Linked DNA regions of Ovis aries. The protein of the gene in region 4 interacts with the protein of the main gene of each other region in a pairwise test. Links are inferred from orthologs where the notes say so. Each region holds a gene or a part of one and is shown on either strand. Other genes may lie near its edges. The genes, in order: CDKN2C, SLC23A1, GEM and AHCYL1.

The links.
Region 1: the proteins of AHCYL1 (region 4) and CDKN2C interact in binary tests that used the Homo sapiens proteins (3 or more experiments, as listed by UniProt). The two-hybrid records come from large-scale screens. The link is inferred for Ovis aries from reciprocal best matches to the Homo sapiens genes AHCYL1 and CDKN2C.
Region 2: the proteins of AHCYL1 (region 4) and SLC23A1 interact in binary tests that used the Homo sapiens proteins (3 or more experiments, as listed by UniProt). The two-hybrid records come from large-scale screens. The link is inferred for Ovis aries from reciprocal best matches to the Homo sapiens genes AHCYL1 and SLC23A1.
Region 3: the proteins of AHCYL1 (region 4) and GEM interact in binary tests that used the Homo sapiens proteins (3 or more experiments, as listed by UniProt). The two-hybrid records come from large-scale screens. The link is inferred for Ovis aries from reciprocal best matches to the Homo sapiens genes AHCYL1 and GEM.

What each region holds. Positions count from the first base shown.
Region 1 is NC_056054.1:25,429,550-25,433,704, forward strand, and holds the start of CDKN2C (cyclin-dependent kinase 4 inhibitor C), read left to right. Parts: upstream 1-1,269; 5' UTR 1,270-2,446; exon of another isoform or gene 2,447-2,456; intron 2,457-2,911; 5' UTR 2,912-2,922; coding exon 2,923-3,051; intron 3,052-4,155. UniProt on the Homo sapiens protein: Interacts strongly with CDK6, weakly with CDK4. Inhibits cell growth and proliferation with a correlated dependence on endogenous retinoblastoma protein RB.
Region 2 is NC_056058.1:48,320,939-48,325,208, forward strand, and holds the start of SLC23A1 (solute carrier family 23 member 1), read right to left. Parts: upstream 2,855-4,270; 5' UTR 2,811-2,854; coding exon 2,775-2,810; intron 2,395-2,774; exon of another isoform or gene 2,292-2,394; intron 2,157-2,291; coding exon 2,022-2,156; intron 1,485-2,021; coding exon 1,327-1,484; intron 610-1,326; coding exon 521-609; intron 387-520; coding exon 319-386; intron 1-318.
Region 3 is NC_056062.1:82,977,428-82,981,387, reverse strand, and holds the end of GEM (GTP-binding protein GEM), read right to left. Parts: intron 3,889-3,960; coding exon 3,684-3,888; intron 2,200-3,683; coding exon 1,922-2,199; 3' UTR 553-1,921; downstream 1-552. UniProt on the Homo sapiens protein: Could be a regulatory protein, possibly participating in receptor-mediated signal transduction at the plasma membrane. Has guanine nucleotide-binding activity but undetectable intrinsic GTPase activity.
Region 4 is NC_056054.1:87,334,299-87,337,862, forward strand, and holds the end of AHCYL1 (S-adenosylhomocysteine hydrolase-like protein 1), read left to right. Parts: intron 1-356; coding exon 357-477; coding exon of another isoform or gene 478-481; exon of another isoform or gene 482-980; coding exon 981-987; 3' UTR 988-3,054; downstream 3,055-3,564. UniProt on the Homo sapiens protein: Multifaceted cellular regulator which coordinates several essential cellular functions including regulation of epithelial HCO3(-) and fluid secretion, mRNA processing and DNA replication.

The DNA.
Region 1 (4,155 bases), about 62 Mb from region 4:
ATCTGTTACTAATGACTATCCAGATGTTGTTGATGTGTTTCGTTGCTAATACCTACAGTGTACCTCAAGGAGCTCGGTATAGATGTTGCTTGAAAACATGCTTGCTAGAGACCGGTAATAATTAGACCACCTGTCACTTTTTGTTTGGTTTCATTTTGCCCACTGGGTGCATCATGCAACCGTGTTGGATATTTTTAAGAGCAAAAAATATAGAAAGCAGTAATTAATTAATCTTACATAGCTAAAAAAGGAAGTAAAAGTACAGAGAACTGGTGCCTCGGACGACTGAAATAAACATTAGGGAAAATACTATTCCTTTACATTTAAACACCCCTCCCCCACCCCCAACAAGTCCCATCTAAAGTAGTCAGAGAGAACTTTGACAAAAACAAAGGCCCTTCTTAGAAAACCCTTCCCAAGACCTACTTTAAAAGATTTTTTTGGCTTTAAAGTTAATTGCTTTTCTCCCTTTCCCCAAAGAAATGGAATATTTCCGTTTCAAGTCCCTGGAACATTAAGGCTTCAGTTCGTCGTGATTTCTTACCTACACCATGCCTTTAGTTTTCGTAACAATCAGTCTAGAAAAGGCTTTTGCTTTTTCTGAGCACAGTTTTTTTGCTGTCAGTCAGGTCTCTCCCTCCATCCCCGCGGCCACCTCGGCCCACCGCGGCCCTCAGCGTTGATCTGGCAGGTGCGAGGCCGAAGCGCTGGACTGAGAAAAGGAGGCCGAGTTTGCACAGAGCGCGCCACGGAGGTGGTGGCGGCAGCGATAGGCCTGGCCTCCGGAACTTCGAGAGCATGGCCGGGGAGCGCTGAGGCGGGCGGCCTGCCCCGCCAAGGCCCGGGAAAGACTAGCTCCGCGCCAGCCTCCTCTCTGCCTTCCAACAGTCAGAGCCGCCGAGCCTCCGAGGCCCTGCGGCTCTCCGCACCCTTAATTAACAAGCCTCTTTTCCCCACCTCCGGCCCCGCCGGCCTCAGGACAGCTCGAGGTTTCACGTCGCACCCTCCATTCCGCCCGCCAGCCAAAGGAGGCCAAACCCGGCTTCGCCGGGCCGAAAGCCGCTCCAGCCCGGGCCTGGCCGCTGGGCTGGCGGGTGGGAGCCAGCGCAGGAGACAGCGAGGGAAGCGCAGAGCCGGGAGGCGGGAGAAAGGGCGCGGGGCAGGGGGCGGGGCGAACCGGGCTGAGAGCTCGAGCGCCACCAGGGCGGAGGGCGGGGCGTGGGCGGCGCCCGGCCTTCCCGCTCCCGCGGTGCTGTAACTCCGCCGAGCCTCCTTAAAACTCTGCCGTTAAAATGGGGGCGGGTTTTTCAACTCAAAAAGCGCTCAATTTTTTTCTTTTCAAAAAAAGCTGATGAGGTCGGAAAAAAGGGAGAAGAAACCGGCACCGTCTCTGCAGCGGCAACAGAAGCAGCAATTGTTTGAGCGAAAAAAGAAGCGAGGGAGGGAAGGAAAAGACCAGAAAGGGGCACGACGCACAAGTGTCTGTAGGGGTGAAGGGAGCAGGGACCTGTGATTTGGGGGGGACCAGCTACAAAAGAAACTGTCACTGGGAGCGCTGCGGCTCGGGAGGAAGCGGTGCTACCCGGCTAGGCTCCCGGGCACAGCTGGCTGGCGGCCGCTGCCCTATCGGCGGCACAGGCTGGGGGCACAGGCCAGGGGACTGCGAGAGGTTGGCGAAGTGGCACAGGGCGCCGTTGAGCTCTCGCCGAGGGCGGAACTGGCTGCGCCCTGGAATTGTGGCGACTCGCAATACTCAGAGCTTGGCCTGAGACTTCCTAGGACCCTCCCGATCTCTGGAGCCCTCAGAAAACCGAGAAAGGAAGGAAAAGAAGCGGCGGTCGTTCAATGAGCTTCTACATTAGGAAGTCTGAACTGGCTCGGTTGTAGGCGGGAAGTTACCGGTGGGCTGCCCCGTGCAGCCGCGATGCTGCAGCGCGCTGCCTCAGCAGCCGGGGCTCCATAGACACTTCCCGCATCTCTCTCCCCCTTCCTCACGCTGCTGGGCGTCCCAGGACCCGGTGGGGCCGGCATGACCGGCTTGCCGGGGGCCCGCCGCGCGCCCGGCCGTCTCCGGAGACGCGCGCCGAGCCTGGCTCCCACGGCCTCTCAGGCTCGGAAGGGCTGCGGTAGCCCGGCGGGCGGGCTCCGGAGCCCTCCCGCACGGCATTAGCCCGCAGCTCGGCCTGGACGCGGATTAAGACTCATCCGGAGAATCGAAGGCCACGGAGGAGTCCTTACGACCTGTAACTTGAGGGCCACGGAACTGCTACTCTCGTTTGATTTTGGTGATCATCTTTAACCCCCGGAGCACATCAGCATCCAGCCACCGAGGCGCTCTCCCTGCAGCGGAGGACTCAGAACTACCCCTTCGCCGAGACGGATGGAGACCGAGCCCCTCCGAGGACCTGCCCCTGCGGTACTGGCTCGCGCGGCTCAAGTCACTACTGTGAGCAAGGGTGGGTTAATACCTTTTCTTCCCCCTAAATGTCTCTTTTTCCACGGTATTTTCTGCCCTAACGTAGTCCCTTAAATCTCCGCATACATTCCTCCTGGAGATCTGTAGTGTAGGTACGTGCCAGCTCTGCCTACATTTTACTTCCAGAGTAATTTACCAGGAATATATGTGTGTCTGTATATCTCTCAGTTTAATCACCAGAATTCTTCATAGGGGTTAAGCTAAAAAGCGAGGAGCGGAGCCCCTCTCCAATGGCTCAGTTTTGCTGAATAATCACGTGTGAATCGAGGGGCGGGCTTTTGGCAGGCAGATCTTACTAGTATTTACTACCAAGCTCTACTCCAGATTAACCATCCCAGTCCTTCTGTCAGTCTCCGATGCCATCATGCAGCCTGGTTAGGAGCGAAGGAAAGGGGAAAAAGAAAAACAACTAATTCATCTTTTCCCGATCGTCAGGACCCTAAAGAATGGCCGAGCCTTGGGGGAACGAGTTGGCGTCCGCAGCTGCCAGGGGGGACCTAGAGCAACTTACTAGTTTGTTGCAAAATAATGTAAACGTCAATGCACAAAATGGATTTGGAAGGACTGCGCTGCAGGTTGGTATCCAGAGAGGTGGGGAAAACAGGTCAACAATGTTGCCTACGTGACCCGGGTTTCTAGAATAATAGCTTTCAAGCTTTCAGGGGTACTAAATTTCACTGTTTTTAAAACTAGTTGGTTGCCATATTTTATATCTTTAAGTGGATCCAACTCCCCAAAATGACGTACTTTGAACAAACTCGTCAAATCCAGTAACATCCTCTATATCAAGTCGGTTCCAGGTTTGGTCTTAATTTTTGGAATGTTTTTGTGACTGTGGGGATTGTGTACCAGTCGTAGCAGCGCCGAGTTTTTTGGTTTTTTTTTTTTTTTAGACAGTTCTGTAAACACGTTATTATGATTATTATTTGAAGTAAATACACTGCTATTAGTGGTTTCCGTACTTTGCTCCAATAATTGACTTTAACGTTAATTTTCTTGACTACTGGCGAGGGTATTTTTTCCTTCAAATGCTTCAAGTTTTGACAAACGACCTTTCCTCATTTGGAATGGGTGGCCTGGGCACAGGCACAGGATGTACATTTCACAGTTAATATAATACCATCCACCCATTCAGGATTGAGGAGGAATAAAAAGTTGAATTTTCTAATCAGAGCTCAGTTTATAGTGTTTTTGTCTCTGCGGTCTTACCATGGTATGTTCTAATTTTTAGTAATTAGATTTACAAGCAACAAATGAAACATGTCCAGCTGCCAAGTATTGTACCTAATAACTTTTTTCCTCCTCTGAACGTTATCATGTAACTTGGTTGAAAGGCTTAGAAACAGAAAAATGGCTAAGTAGTCTCAAACAGTTGCTTTATCTGAGTTCTGATGATATTCTCAAAAGCAGTTCGTATTTGAAATGCAACACTTAAAAGCTGTTTTTGAAAATCCACTGGGGAGAGGGTTTTTAGAGTGCTTTGTTTTTAATTGCAAGAATGAGAAATTTAAGTGACAGGAGATGTACTACTAACAGACGAAGTCCATACACTCTGTATATTTTAAATCAGAATACACTGACTTTGCAAAAATTTCAGTATTAAGAAAGCTTATACATACTAAATTATTTATCTTGTTATTTCAGGTATATTAAGTGGGGAAAGGATTTTTTTCTTTTTC
Region 2 (4,270 bases), on a different chromosome or scaffold from region 4:
CGGGTACCACAACTACTGAGCCCACGTGATGCAACTACTGAAGCCTGCATGCCCTAGAGCCTGTTCTCTGCAGCAAGAGAAGCCACCCCAACGAGAAGCCCATGCACTGCAACGAAGAATAGCTCCTGCTTGCCGCAACTAGAGGAAAACCCACATAGCATCCAAGACCCAACACAGCCGGAAATAAATAATTACATAAAATTATACAGAAAAAGTTCCTGGACCACATTCTCACATCCCCCAATTCAGCAGTGGCCTTCCCCTCCATCTAACCACACTCTCAAGTCCAGGCCTCTTCTGCCCCACATGCAAACCCACCTCTCGTATCCGTGGGTGCCAAATATGTGAGGTATTCAGGGGCAGACTCCAGTTACCGTAGATCTCTTCTGTGGGCAGAGATAGGAACACACATGTGGACAGAGAGAAAGTAAAGATGCTGCCCTGAATGGACACGGGACAGCCCCGACCTCCAGGCTCTGGGGATTCCCTTTCCCAATGCAGACCCCAGAAATGCACCCACCTTCTGGAGGGCATTTCCATCTCTCTAGGGCCAGGATGGCTTTCGCTGGGACCAGAAATGCAAAGGCACTGGCCTGGAACAGCGGCAGCCTGGAAGCAGAGGCACAGAGCCACAGGGACAGGATGGGAGGTGGGGAGGCAGGAACAAGAGATGGGGCGGGGGACCCACACAGAGAGAGGCACCGGGAGAATCACCGGGACAGAGACACAGAGGAACAGGGGCCAGGGCAGAACAGAGGGAACTCACTGAGGCCTCAGGCCAGACTCGGGGACATTTTGGGTGCCTAAGAAAGAAAACAAATGGAGCCCCTAACCCATAACCTGCTCCCTTTCCCTCTGAGCACCAGCTCCTGCACTGTGACGGGCCATGGGCACGGGAGTGGATAGCTTGGCTCCTGTGTGCAAGCTCTGCTCACAACCTTCCTTCCCACAAACAACCATCCTTAGGCCACCCAGGCCTAGGACTGTGCACAAGGGGCAGGGAGCCCCCAGGAGGACAGGCCATTGAAGGGGCCCGCAAAGGCTCTGGAAGCAGGAGAGCGAGTGGTCCCGATTGCCCAGAGTAAGGCTGAACAGAGGAGAGCCCAGCTAGGCACGTTCCTTTTCCTTGAGGAACTCCCAGGGGTCCAGGGTGGGACCCCAGCCACCTGCCTCTAAGTCTGGCCTGGAAGCCAGAGCAGCAGGTGGGCACAAATAGCAGCTCTTTGTGTCCCACGAGAGCCCTCTGAGACTGCGCCTGCTGTGTGGGTCGCTGCGTGTGTCTATAGGAACGGGGTCGGAGGTACAGGTGGCACATGGGCAGCTCACCGGATGCCCAGTGTGGTCTGGATGAGGGTGGTGATGCCCACACAGGTGAAGATGGTGCCAATGAGCTGGCTGACCATGTACTGGTCACGGCCCACACACAGCGCCTCCGCCAGCAGGAAGGGCACGGCGATGGTGCCGCTGAAGCAGGTCAGGTAGTGCTAGGGGCGGGGAGATGGGGGCAGCACGTGAGGCAGGGCCCAGGGAGCCCACCCGGAAGCAGGGGGCCTCAGAGCCCTCACCCTGCCTCAGGGGGCCTGAGCCCAGGCCAGCCCCACCAGGGAGCCCGCCCGGAAGCAGGGGGCCTCAGAGCCCTCACCCTGCCTCAGGGGGCCTGAGCCCAGGCCAGCCCCACCAGGGAGCCCGCCTGGGACTGATACTCCCATAAGGGACTCCCGCAGAGCGACTGCTCACCTCTCTGGGAGTCACCATCTGCCCCGGGTTACTCCCGCAGCTCCTGTGGGATGGGCCTCCTCCCTGTCACTGGCGCTCCCCCTGGCGGGTGATGCGCCGTCCCTTTCAGACCCTATCAAGCCTCTTCCCCACCGACTTGGTGACAGTCACTGCTGCTGACCTTAGGTTTCTCTTCCTGTTACCCAGGATGACCTCGTTGGCCAGGGAGGGGGCTGGGATCCTGGGGTGGGTGCAGGGTGGTCGGGGTGGGGGCTGCGCAAGGGGTATGCCTGGGAGACGCCCACCTGGAAGCCCAGCAGCACGCACAGGTACCAGGGCGGCACATCTTCGATCTTGTACAACATGTCAAACTTGGGTTCTGTGGACAGGGACGCTGGGGGGTCCCTCGTGGAGGTCCCTGCCGAACCCAGGGACTCATGCTGGGGGCAGCATATAGAAGAACTCAGCGTTGACACCCAGAAAAAGTCCACTTTGCTTCAGAATCAATCAGGTGCCCCTAGTGGCCTGTCGGCTCCACAGATGGGGGCCCCTGCCCTCCCTCAAGCTTCACCTACCCGCTCTCCCTTGGCCTGGCTACACCTGGCTCCCACCTCACGTTGCCTTGTGCAGGAGTGAGTCCACTGTGCTGGCTCCAGGAGCCCCCGGAACCTGGGCCTTCTAGCCAAGGGAATGGGCCCGTGAGTCAGAAGCCTGGAGGTACCCCAGGAAGAGGCCAAGAGGGCTAAAGACCGAGACAGACCCTCTTCGACCCACTCTGGTCCCACCAGTGCCCCGGTCCTTGGAGTGTCCGCTAGTGGGGGGTGGTAGGCTGGCCCCCTGCTCATTCCAGGCTGGAGTCAGCCAGTCCCAAAGCAGAAAGCTCTTTCACCCCCACTGCCACCTCCACCGCCTCCCCCAGTTGCCACATTCCACCTAGGACAGTCACTCTTGATCCAGTTCATCAGAACTTTTCTCTCTGCACAGCAGAGAGAGGGAGCAGGCTTGCACAGCACCCCACCCCCACCCACCCCACCCCATTCCCACTCATCCCCCAGCACCTGTGTCTGGCCCTCAGCGTCCTCCCGGGCCCTCATCTTTGGGGCACAGGTGTGAGCCGTTCCTGAGGAGAAGGAGGGATGGCTTTACAAAGGCCAAGGAGGACTTTACTCCACATATCAGGCATTGTTTGAAGTAAATCTGTAACCAGATCTCTATCACTGATTGCGAAAGGAGGGCCCAGGCTGAGGTAACGTATTAACTCTGGCTGTAGTGGGAAAGGCCGCCCAAGCCTCTGCCACACGTACCTCCTGAGCACTCCCTTGCTTGCACCTGAGCCTGGGCACGGGCCATGAGTTTTCCAAGAGAGGGCCAGAGGGAGGGTGAGGAGTGGACGACCTTGGAAGGGTACCAGGCCCTGGGTGAGGTGAGGAGAAAGGGAGTGACCCTGGGCACATATGATGTCACACTCTGAATCAGGCTTTTCTCTACTTATTAATAAGAAGTTAATCATTATCATCATCATAACCCATCTTGTTATTGAGGAATGACTGCGTGCCAAGCAACATCCTTGTATTGTCAAGTCTAACCCCAGGCTCTGGGCTCTATTAACCTGTTTCACAGCTGATGGAAACAGATTTAGGAGATGTGATCTGACCAAGGCCACACAGGTCGCAAGGTTTTAGAAAACCATTCCAAAAATTAGGTTTGCCTGAACGCCTAAACCCACTGTATTTATTTCTACATTAAATGTCATGAAGGACTGCCCTCCCCACCACTACCGCTCAGGGTCCCTGAGGCAAAATCAGATAGGCCCAAGGAGCTGCCAGGGCTAGCCCGGTCTTGCCTGTCCTCTGTGTCAGGACAAGGATTCCTTTCCTTCCCTCCTAGCCAGGACCAGCTGTGTGATCTGTGGGACCCAGTGCAAAACCTGGGACCCCTGTTCCAAAAGTGTTATAAATTTTAAAACAGCAACAGCAGAGCATTAAACCAAATTGGGGGGGGGGGGTGCCTTTCTAAGCATCAGGCCCTGTGTGATGGCCACACAGCCCCTGAAGCAGCCCTGGGCCGGACCATCTTCCCCACCTAGGGGTTGGAGAAAGCCCAGGGGTTGAGGCTCTAGGCCAGTGGGGGCTGAGCCCGAGGTCCCTTCCGTGCCTTCCCAGCCCCCTCAGGGTCCACCTACTTCTGGGTCGCTGTGCCCACGGCCAGGGCCTGCCCCGAGGGCTACCAGGCAGCATCGCTGTCCAGCTGGGTAGCAGCTTCATGTCACAGCCCTGAATCCAAAGGCTTATCCAGCCTCCAGCCCGTTGCTCCAGCCTCCAGCCCGTTGCTCTGCCTGCCTGTCCTCTCCTCTCCCTTCTTGGCTACTGCTCCCAGGTTCCCAAAGTTGTCTGACCAGTTCAAAGCCTGTACTCCTCAGCACTTTCCTCCCCACCCTCTTTTCCTCGGTACTCCCTAGGGGGCTGGAGAGACAGCCCCACCCTTTCCACACACTGTCCTTTGGTCATTCAAGTCTACCCAAACCACATACCACACACACACACACGGAGACAAG
Region 3 (3,960 bases), on a different chromosome or scaffold from region 4:
CCACCTCAGCCTGCGTAACCTGAGTCTTTACTCTCATCACTTCCCTGTACTGTTTCCTTACACGATTCAAAGATGCCAAGTTCTGAGATGGGAACTTCTGCTCCCAACTTGGAAAACGGAGGAGAAAGGGCAACAGAACAGAAAAGAAGCCCCTTGTGAAACTGTGTCACTCGGGGCAATATGCAAGGTCCCATGATTGTCACTGTGAGTGTGTGTGTGACCACAAACTCAGAAGGAGAGGGAGTTGAGAGTGAAAGAGGGTACACATGTGGGCCAGGGGTGTGAAGAGGGAGTCCCTCTCCTGTAGCAGAAGGGCTACACAGTGCCACTGGAAAGCAACTATGTATTAATGTCCAGCTGTAATAAAGTCAACAGGGAGAATTTGGTTAAAGCCTTGCCTGGCTAGATCTCAGGCTGAAAATCACCAGCTTCCTTTTTTACCTCCCTAATCCTTTATAATTTCCTCTAATGCTTTACTCAAGCTTAGGACCATGAGCCTTTGGGGAGCAAAGTGAGGCCCATCTGTTGAGTTAGGAATTTGCCAGACCAAAGTAAAAATCAATCTCACTTTTATTGTAACTTAGCATTTATGTGACTCCAAATACTTCCTAACTGTATCAGCTGAAAATCACTTTGCATTATTGTGAATCACGTCCCAAAGGACAGATGTCAGGAATACTCTTTAAAACAGATAATTACTAGGCTATTGCCAATGAAAAGAAGAAATAAAACGATAGGTAGGTTTCTTTATAATTTGCTTGCTCTGGAAGCTATACCAAAATGATCACAATCATCTTTCCTGGAGAGGAAAAATATTTAGGAATGCCTTTTTTTTCCCAAAGATTTTATTTATTTTATTATAAGACATATAGGTAAAAACTTGAATATTCTGAAAAAGATAGAAAATGGTAATAAAATGGGTGTTTTTCTTAATAAGAAACAGGTTCATAAATATGCTTTATCAAATGTTACAATGGTTGTTATTTTGCAAAATAATAATAAATAGAGCAGAGCTGTGGCATACAAGGGTCAACCCAAAATGCTGGAAGTATTTATATTTTGTGTTTTACAAAAATGCAGAGCTTCGATTATATTTTAAAATCTGGCATTTCGCACTCTATGTTCTCAGTAATTTAGATGTTAAAAATATTTTTATGATGTCCCCATGATTTTAAAAACAATGCAACAGAAAATGTGGTTTGGCTAAATAGAATCTGATTAAAATAATTTCCCCCTAAATAAAAAAATATAAGACACAATAGTAAATACACAATTTTTGAACCCATTAGTGGTACATGTATCCATTCCCAATTCTACAGATTTCTGGATCACCAACTATGGGCACTGAACAAAAATGGTTTGCTAAGCTTTCGTTTCCAGCAAGTCCATCATCTCTCACAGCTTCACGGAGCAATGACAGTGATGACCTTGATGAACCCAGTTATGCAGTTCTAGCTCCACAAATAAAAGCTACAAAGACAGAGGTTCTCCTTCCTTTGCAAAACTCCTTTGACAGCTTTCCTATATTTGCCTAGGACCGACTGAGTGGCCTCAAATAACATATCAGAACACCAGGCAAAATTTTAACAAGGAAAAGTTCTTGTCCAGGCATTCTTCCTTAGGCTTCGATTCTCCATCTGCGAAAGGAGAGAAGAAACACGTGGACCCCGACCACGCCCTCTAATGAGTCTTGGGTGTTCAGACAGCAAAGGTCAGGCTTTTCCTGTAAGTGAATACTGACTCCTCACGAAGCCCTTTCATTTCCCATGCGTACGGTTGCCCAGCAGGCTAGCACATTAGTTCCCAGCTACAATAGGGGAAGCCACATCTAACGATACTTAAGAATCCAATCTAATATAGATTATGGGTCCCAGCGGCCTTCAGTGATGTCCTCTGCGGGACAGCGGGTGACTCTGGGTGCCTAGAGCACCGAGAGGTCGTGGCAGGATTTGGACTTGAGCTTGAAGGCCATGTTCTTGTTGTTTTTGGCCACGATCTTGCCCCAGAAGCGCCTGGCTTTCCTGGGGATGCTCTCCCGCCGCTTCTGGTAGGCCAGCCGTCGCTCGTTCTTCTCCTTGCTGTCCCGCCGGAGGCGGACCTGCCGCACGATCCCTTCAAACAGCTCCTTGACGTTGTGCTGGACGGCCGCAGAGGTCTCGATGAACTTGCAGTCGAACACCACAGCACACGCTCTCCCTTCTGGTGGGGAAAGCAAGAGGGCGAGAGGAGAGTCAGGGGAGCTGCAGATTTGACCCGCCACGCACACAGCCAAGCTGGATGCGGCCTAACTTTAAACAGTGCCCCGGGGAACTCGAAGTCAGCGATGCACGTGATGGATACCGGAGGCCACGGGGACAAGTGGCCTCCCTGAAACAGAAGCAAAGAGCCTCACAGGAAGATTCCTGGAAGCAGCAAAGACGGGCTTTAGATCGGGCCCACCAAATTCACGGTGTGAGGGTCCCATGTCACCAGTGCCATAGTATTAATTATAATAGTCCCAGCCATCGTCGAAATTGACTCCCCTCGGGAAATGGGTTAAATACTTGACAAATATTTTTTAATGTTCACAGCAATCTTTAAAAGTACACTATCCCTTTCAGATAGCTGATGAGACTGGAAGGGAGAGAAGGTGGTACTTTAAAAACTTGAGGGCGTTCACACAGCCTGTAAGTAGCAGCTGTGAATCCGGGTCTGCTTCCCTCTCAAGTTCATCTTCTTTACTCCTTCTCCTGATTCAGTTTCCTGAATCGAAAATTAAGAATCCTACTAGTTGGTTTCCTCTCTTAAAAAAATGTTTTTTTAAGTTTTGATGAGATATTTTGAAAAAATTTTGATGATTTCACACATGCACAGTACAATTACAGCAACTCTACAAACAAGTTTTTCTGAAACAGTCTCAATTTCGAATGTTCTACTGTGTTCAATGACCAGGTGTCCACATTTTGGTTTGGGGGAAACTGACTACTATAGACAGCCATTTCCCAAGAGTAAGGCATTCCCAAGCTGGTTGGGTCTTTTCAGTCTTTTTCAAGGTTCTTTACTGCTGGGTGGAGGCTGGCAATGCAGCATTTTATTTTTTTTTTTTACCATTGTACAAATCTGTATTAGGCCAATAAAATTTTAAGGTCCCCAAAGGCACTTGGGTGCCAGCTCAACAAAGAGAAGTATCCCTGAATTATGACAAAGGGTACCTGACACCAGCAGACTGATGCCTTGACTGGAATTCAGGAAACAAAGAGTGAGGGCTGGGAGGGTGTTTCTAGGGTCAACAGGAACCAGAGGCAGCCAGAGTGGAATTCTCAATCTCGGTAAGACTCTTTCTCACAATGCCCCTTAATCAAAGTGCCCAACCTTCCTGTCTAAAGATGTTACTTTCACTTCCCAGAAGGCTTGAGATCTCCCTGGAGAATAGAAGGGCCAAAACGCTGGGGATGGCCAGTTTCCCCTGAGCCGCACCTCTTCCCTAAAGGAATCCCAGAGAAAGCCTTGGGGATGGAGAGACTGGAATCCCGCAGGTAGAGCAGATGATCTGCTGGGAACATGGACCTCTTAGAGAGGATGCGTGAAACTCCACGTGGCATTTTAGTAAGTCCCTGGTTTCAGCTTCAGGAAAGAGCAACCGTTGGAAGCAAAATGCAAGGGACTCAGAGACATTTCTACGGTACTGGCATCGCTCCTCTTACCTGATACAGACACTTCCCGGCACCGCACCAGGTCACTTTTGTTGCCAACCAGGATTATCGGGATGTCCTCGGTCTGCCGGGCCCTGCGGAGCTGAATCCTCAGCTCAGACGCCTTCTCGAAGCTGGCTCGGTCCGTGATGGAGTAGACGATCAGGTAGGCATCCCCGACCTGCATGCAGTGGTCCTGCAGCCACTCACTCTCCCCCTGATAAAGGAGAAGGTCTTCCATGAGCTCAGATCTGCCTGGTTAAATGAGGTCTCCATTTGAAAGAGGGAT
Region 4 (3,564 bases):
AGAATTTATAGTTCAGCTAAGGAAATTGCTGCAGGAAGGTGAGGGTAGTACGTGTTATGTTGGCTATTGAGGTGAACCCAGAAGCTTTGCCAGAGAAGAATGGGGCGGTACAAGTTGCCCTATTTTGTCACTCTGCCGAATGGCTTTCGTAATACATTCTGATTGTACTGAAAGATACCTTAAAGACAACGTTGAGTGGTTTTTTTAATTAGGCGAATATTCCAAGTTAGATTCTTTCAGTGTTATTCCAAGCCTTGTCCTCTCTCTCAGAAAGCTTCAGATGAAATAATGGGAGGCTGTGCCCTGAGAGGCATATTTTATATGGAGTTTGCTCCCTGCTGCTTTGTTCTTCTTAGATGAGTACGTTGCCAGCTTGCACCTGCCATCATTTGATGCCCACCTGACAGAGCTGACAGATGACCAAGCAAAATATCTGGGACTCAACAAAAATGGGCCATTCAAACCCAATTACTACAGGTAACTCGGGGGAAAGTAAATGAAAAGATGTTCTCCCTGATATTATACCAAGCAGACTTTTCTAAATGGTATTATAGCTGATTTTGAAATGTACAAGAACTCTGCCCCACACTAAAAAGTAAACAGAGAAATTATCTATCTAGTAGTAGATGTAAAGAAGTCAGCATTTTCTAAAATTTTGGAGCTTGAGCCTCCCCCCGAGAGATTCTGATAGAGTTAGTCTAGAATGGGGCCCAGGCTTATTTTGTAAAACTTCTTCAGATTATTCTAACATATTGTCACATTGAAAATCACTGACTTATTAGGGAGCGGGAGAGAAAGCTAGAGATGGCATTGTTGGAAATCCTGTGGAAACACAGTGAGAAATGATCCCTGGGGAATGACTGCAGGAATCCCTGGCCTATGCAAGGGAAGACCCTGGAGAGTGTTCTCTGTTTTTTATTCTTCTCTTGGAACTCTGATTTGGAAGACACAGGTGCTAACCAGTTACTCTTTCTTTACAGATACTAATGGACCATATTACCAAGGACCAGAACACATGAACCACACAATTCTAAAAGAAATATTTTTTAAGATAACTTTTATTTTCTTCTTAATCCTTTCCTTTTGATTTTTTTTTTTTCCTATAATTTCTTTCTTGGGTTTTTTTTTTTTTTTTTTTTTTTCATCTCATTATCCAAGTTCTACAGACCACACAGGAACTTGCTTCATGGCTCTTTAGATGAAACTGAGATTAAAGGTTTCTCACCCTAGTCACTAAAGAAGGATTTTACTCTCCCAGCCCAGAAAGGTGATCCTTTCTTTTCCATTTCTGGGGACTTAATAGTCTTAATTGGGTACCTTATTAACAGGAGACGCTAAGGTACCGTCTGTGTGGAACAATCTGCAATGTCTAAATTGCCTTAAAAGAGCCCATTTCTCAGCTGCTGGAATCAGTGCTCTTTCACTTCTTCAGAGGAGCAGGGATGGTACCTACCAGGCAGGTAGGTTAGATGTAGGTGGTGCATGTTAATTTCCCCTAGATATTCCAAGCCCTGTTTCCTGTGTAAAGGTGGTATGTTTGGTTCAGAGATGTATACTAGTGAGTGTTGCTTGTTAAGATCCAGTAGGCCCACTTGGATTTAGTACAGCCCTTCCTCCACTTCCCACCAGACCCTCTCATTTTCCAGGTTTTTAACCAGACTGTTCTGTTAAGTTGAATTTTGTCCCCTAGCATTTATTTCTGTTTTTGTTTTAGGGTTTTTTATTTGTTTTTTAAGTAAGAAAAACGTTTAGTCTTAATATTGAGGAGCTGCTTGAGTGATTAGTTGTTATCAGTTTATCTTTTGAACCTTTGGAGCTAAAAGTGCAGAGTTGAGTCTAGAGAAATGCTGATTTCAAATTCTGATAATTCCAGTTTCTAGCCCATAGTTCCTAGCATCAATGAACTGTGGCCATAATAGCGGATTTTATCAGCTCTGCCCATCAGCTTGTGCTGGAAGCAAATTTCTTGAGTCATTAGTCAGTATATAGCACTGAACTCTCTTTAAGAGCAAATTTCTGATCAGCTGTGCTTCTGCAATTTAAAATATTTAAAGGGAGGTAGGTGTGGATGGGAGGAGGAAGGCTAAATTGGGCCAGGGTGAGGGAAATCAGCTCTGTTTAACTTGTCTGGGACATTAGGCCCCATATAACTTAGGTTTTACAGAAGCAGTACCACTTTTGATTTACACGTGACACAGAAAGTGTGCGAACTGAGACCTCAAAGGGCAGTTTGTGCCTAGAGTAATCGGTATGTCCTGGCTCACGCTCTGTAAGAATCCCCAGAAAGGCTCTCTTAGAGATCAGAGAGATGATATATTCCCCTGCCATGAACCCTGCTTACCAGCATTTCTGCATGGTCAGACGAGCTTTATGCTCATGAGCTTTAAATGCATAATTATCTAGGATTCTAAATCCTCAACTTGTTCTAGCTTGTGATCCTTCAAAGTTGGGTCAGGCATTAGTGCTAGATACTAGAAATTTTCATTTCCCTGTTGTTATTGATCAGCGGGACAGGCATTAATTAAAAACAGAAATATAAAAAAGGAAAGCTTCCACCCTGTGACTTCCTATCAGGGGACAGTGATCTTGCCAAAAATTTTTTCCCTTTTTTCTCCCTACCCTGCCCCTTCCCACTCCTTGCCAATGCAACCATGCTTTCTTCTCTGTAGATGCTAACAGTTCAAGCCCTTTTCCCAGGGCATTTAACCAGCCAATCAGAACAGCACATCCTTTAGGGGAGATAACCTGGCCAACAGTGGTATCCATCATGTCAGCTCTGCTAGAGGGAAGGGGCTCAGGTCCTGCTACCCTCTGGCCTGCCCCCTGCTCCCATATCTTTTACTGTGTCCATAGGAATACTCGATAAGGGCTCCGTCTCTGTCAAGCCATGTAACAAAGGACACTGTGGGAAAATGTCTGGCATCAGAGGGAGCATGTGGAGAGCAACTTAGGAGGAACAAGTTTATTTTGTATTGAATGATTTTTAATGAATGCAATATTAATCCTTGCAGACGAGCAATAATCATTAAAGTCAATTAAAATGATAAGACCTTATTGGAATCCTGTGTCATTCTTGTTTGAACAACACCTTCATTTAGAATCTGTTTTCCAAGATGGGACAAGTCATTGGTCAGTTAGCAATATCTGAGAGATTTTTTAGGACCTAGTATGTAGAGGAAGAGGCTAGATGCAGAGTTCCTCAGTAATATCTTAAATTTTGTGTCTGCTCTGTGCCCAGCATTGGGCCTACACACTTTCACTTTAACTTCGTTCCTGCAACTTGCTGCCTAAAATTCAGGCTGCCTCAGGTACACAGTCCCCTTCATAAGACCCTGTACCTAATTCTTAAAAAACACCTCCAAAGTTATGTAAGCTTTAGCCCATCCCCACCCCACACCATACCTGTATCCATCGCTGAAGTAGTCTCCATATTTTCTGATTTAACAGTGTATCTGTTAATATTGTTCAAAATAACACCCTTTCTATTTTATTAAACTGATCCCAAACAATGTTGATTTTGCAGTGCAGATTGGTAAAATGAATGTTTTTAGTTCTGCAAGGTTT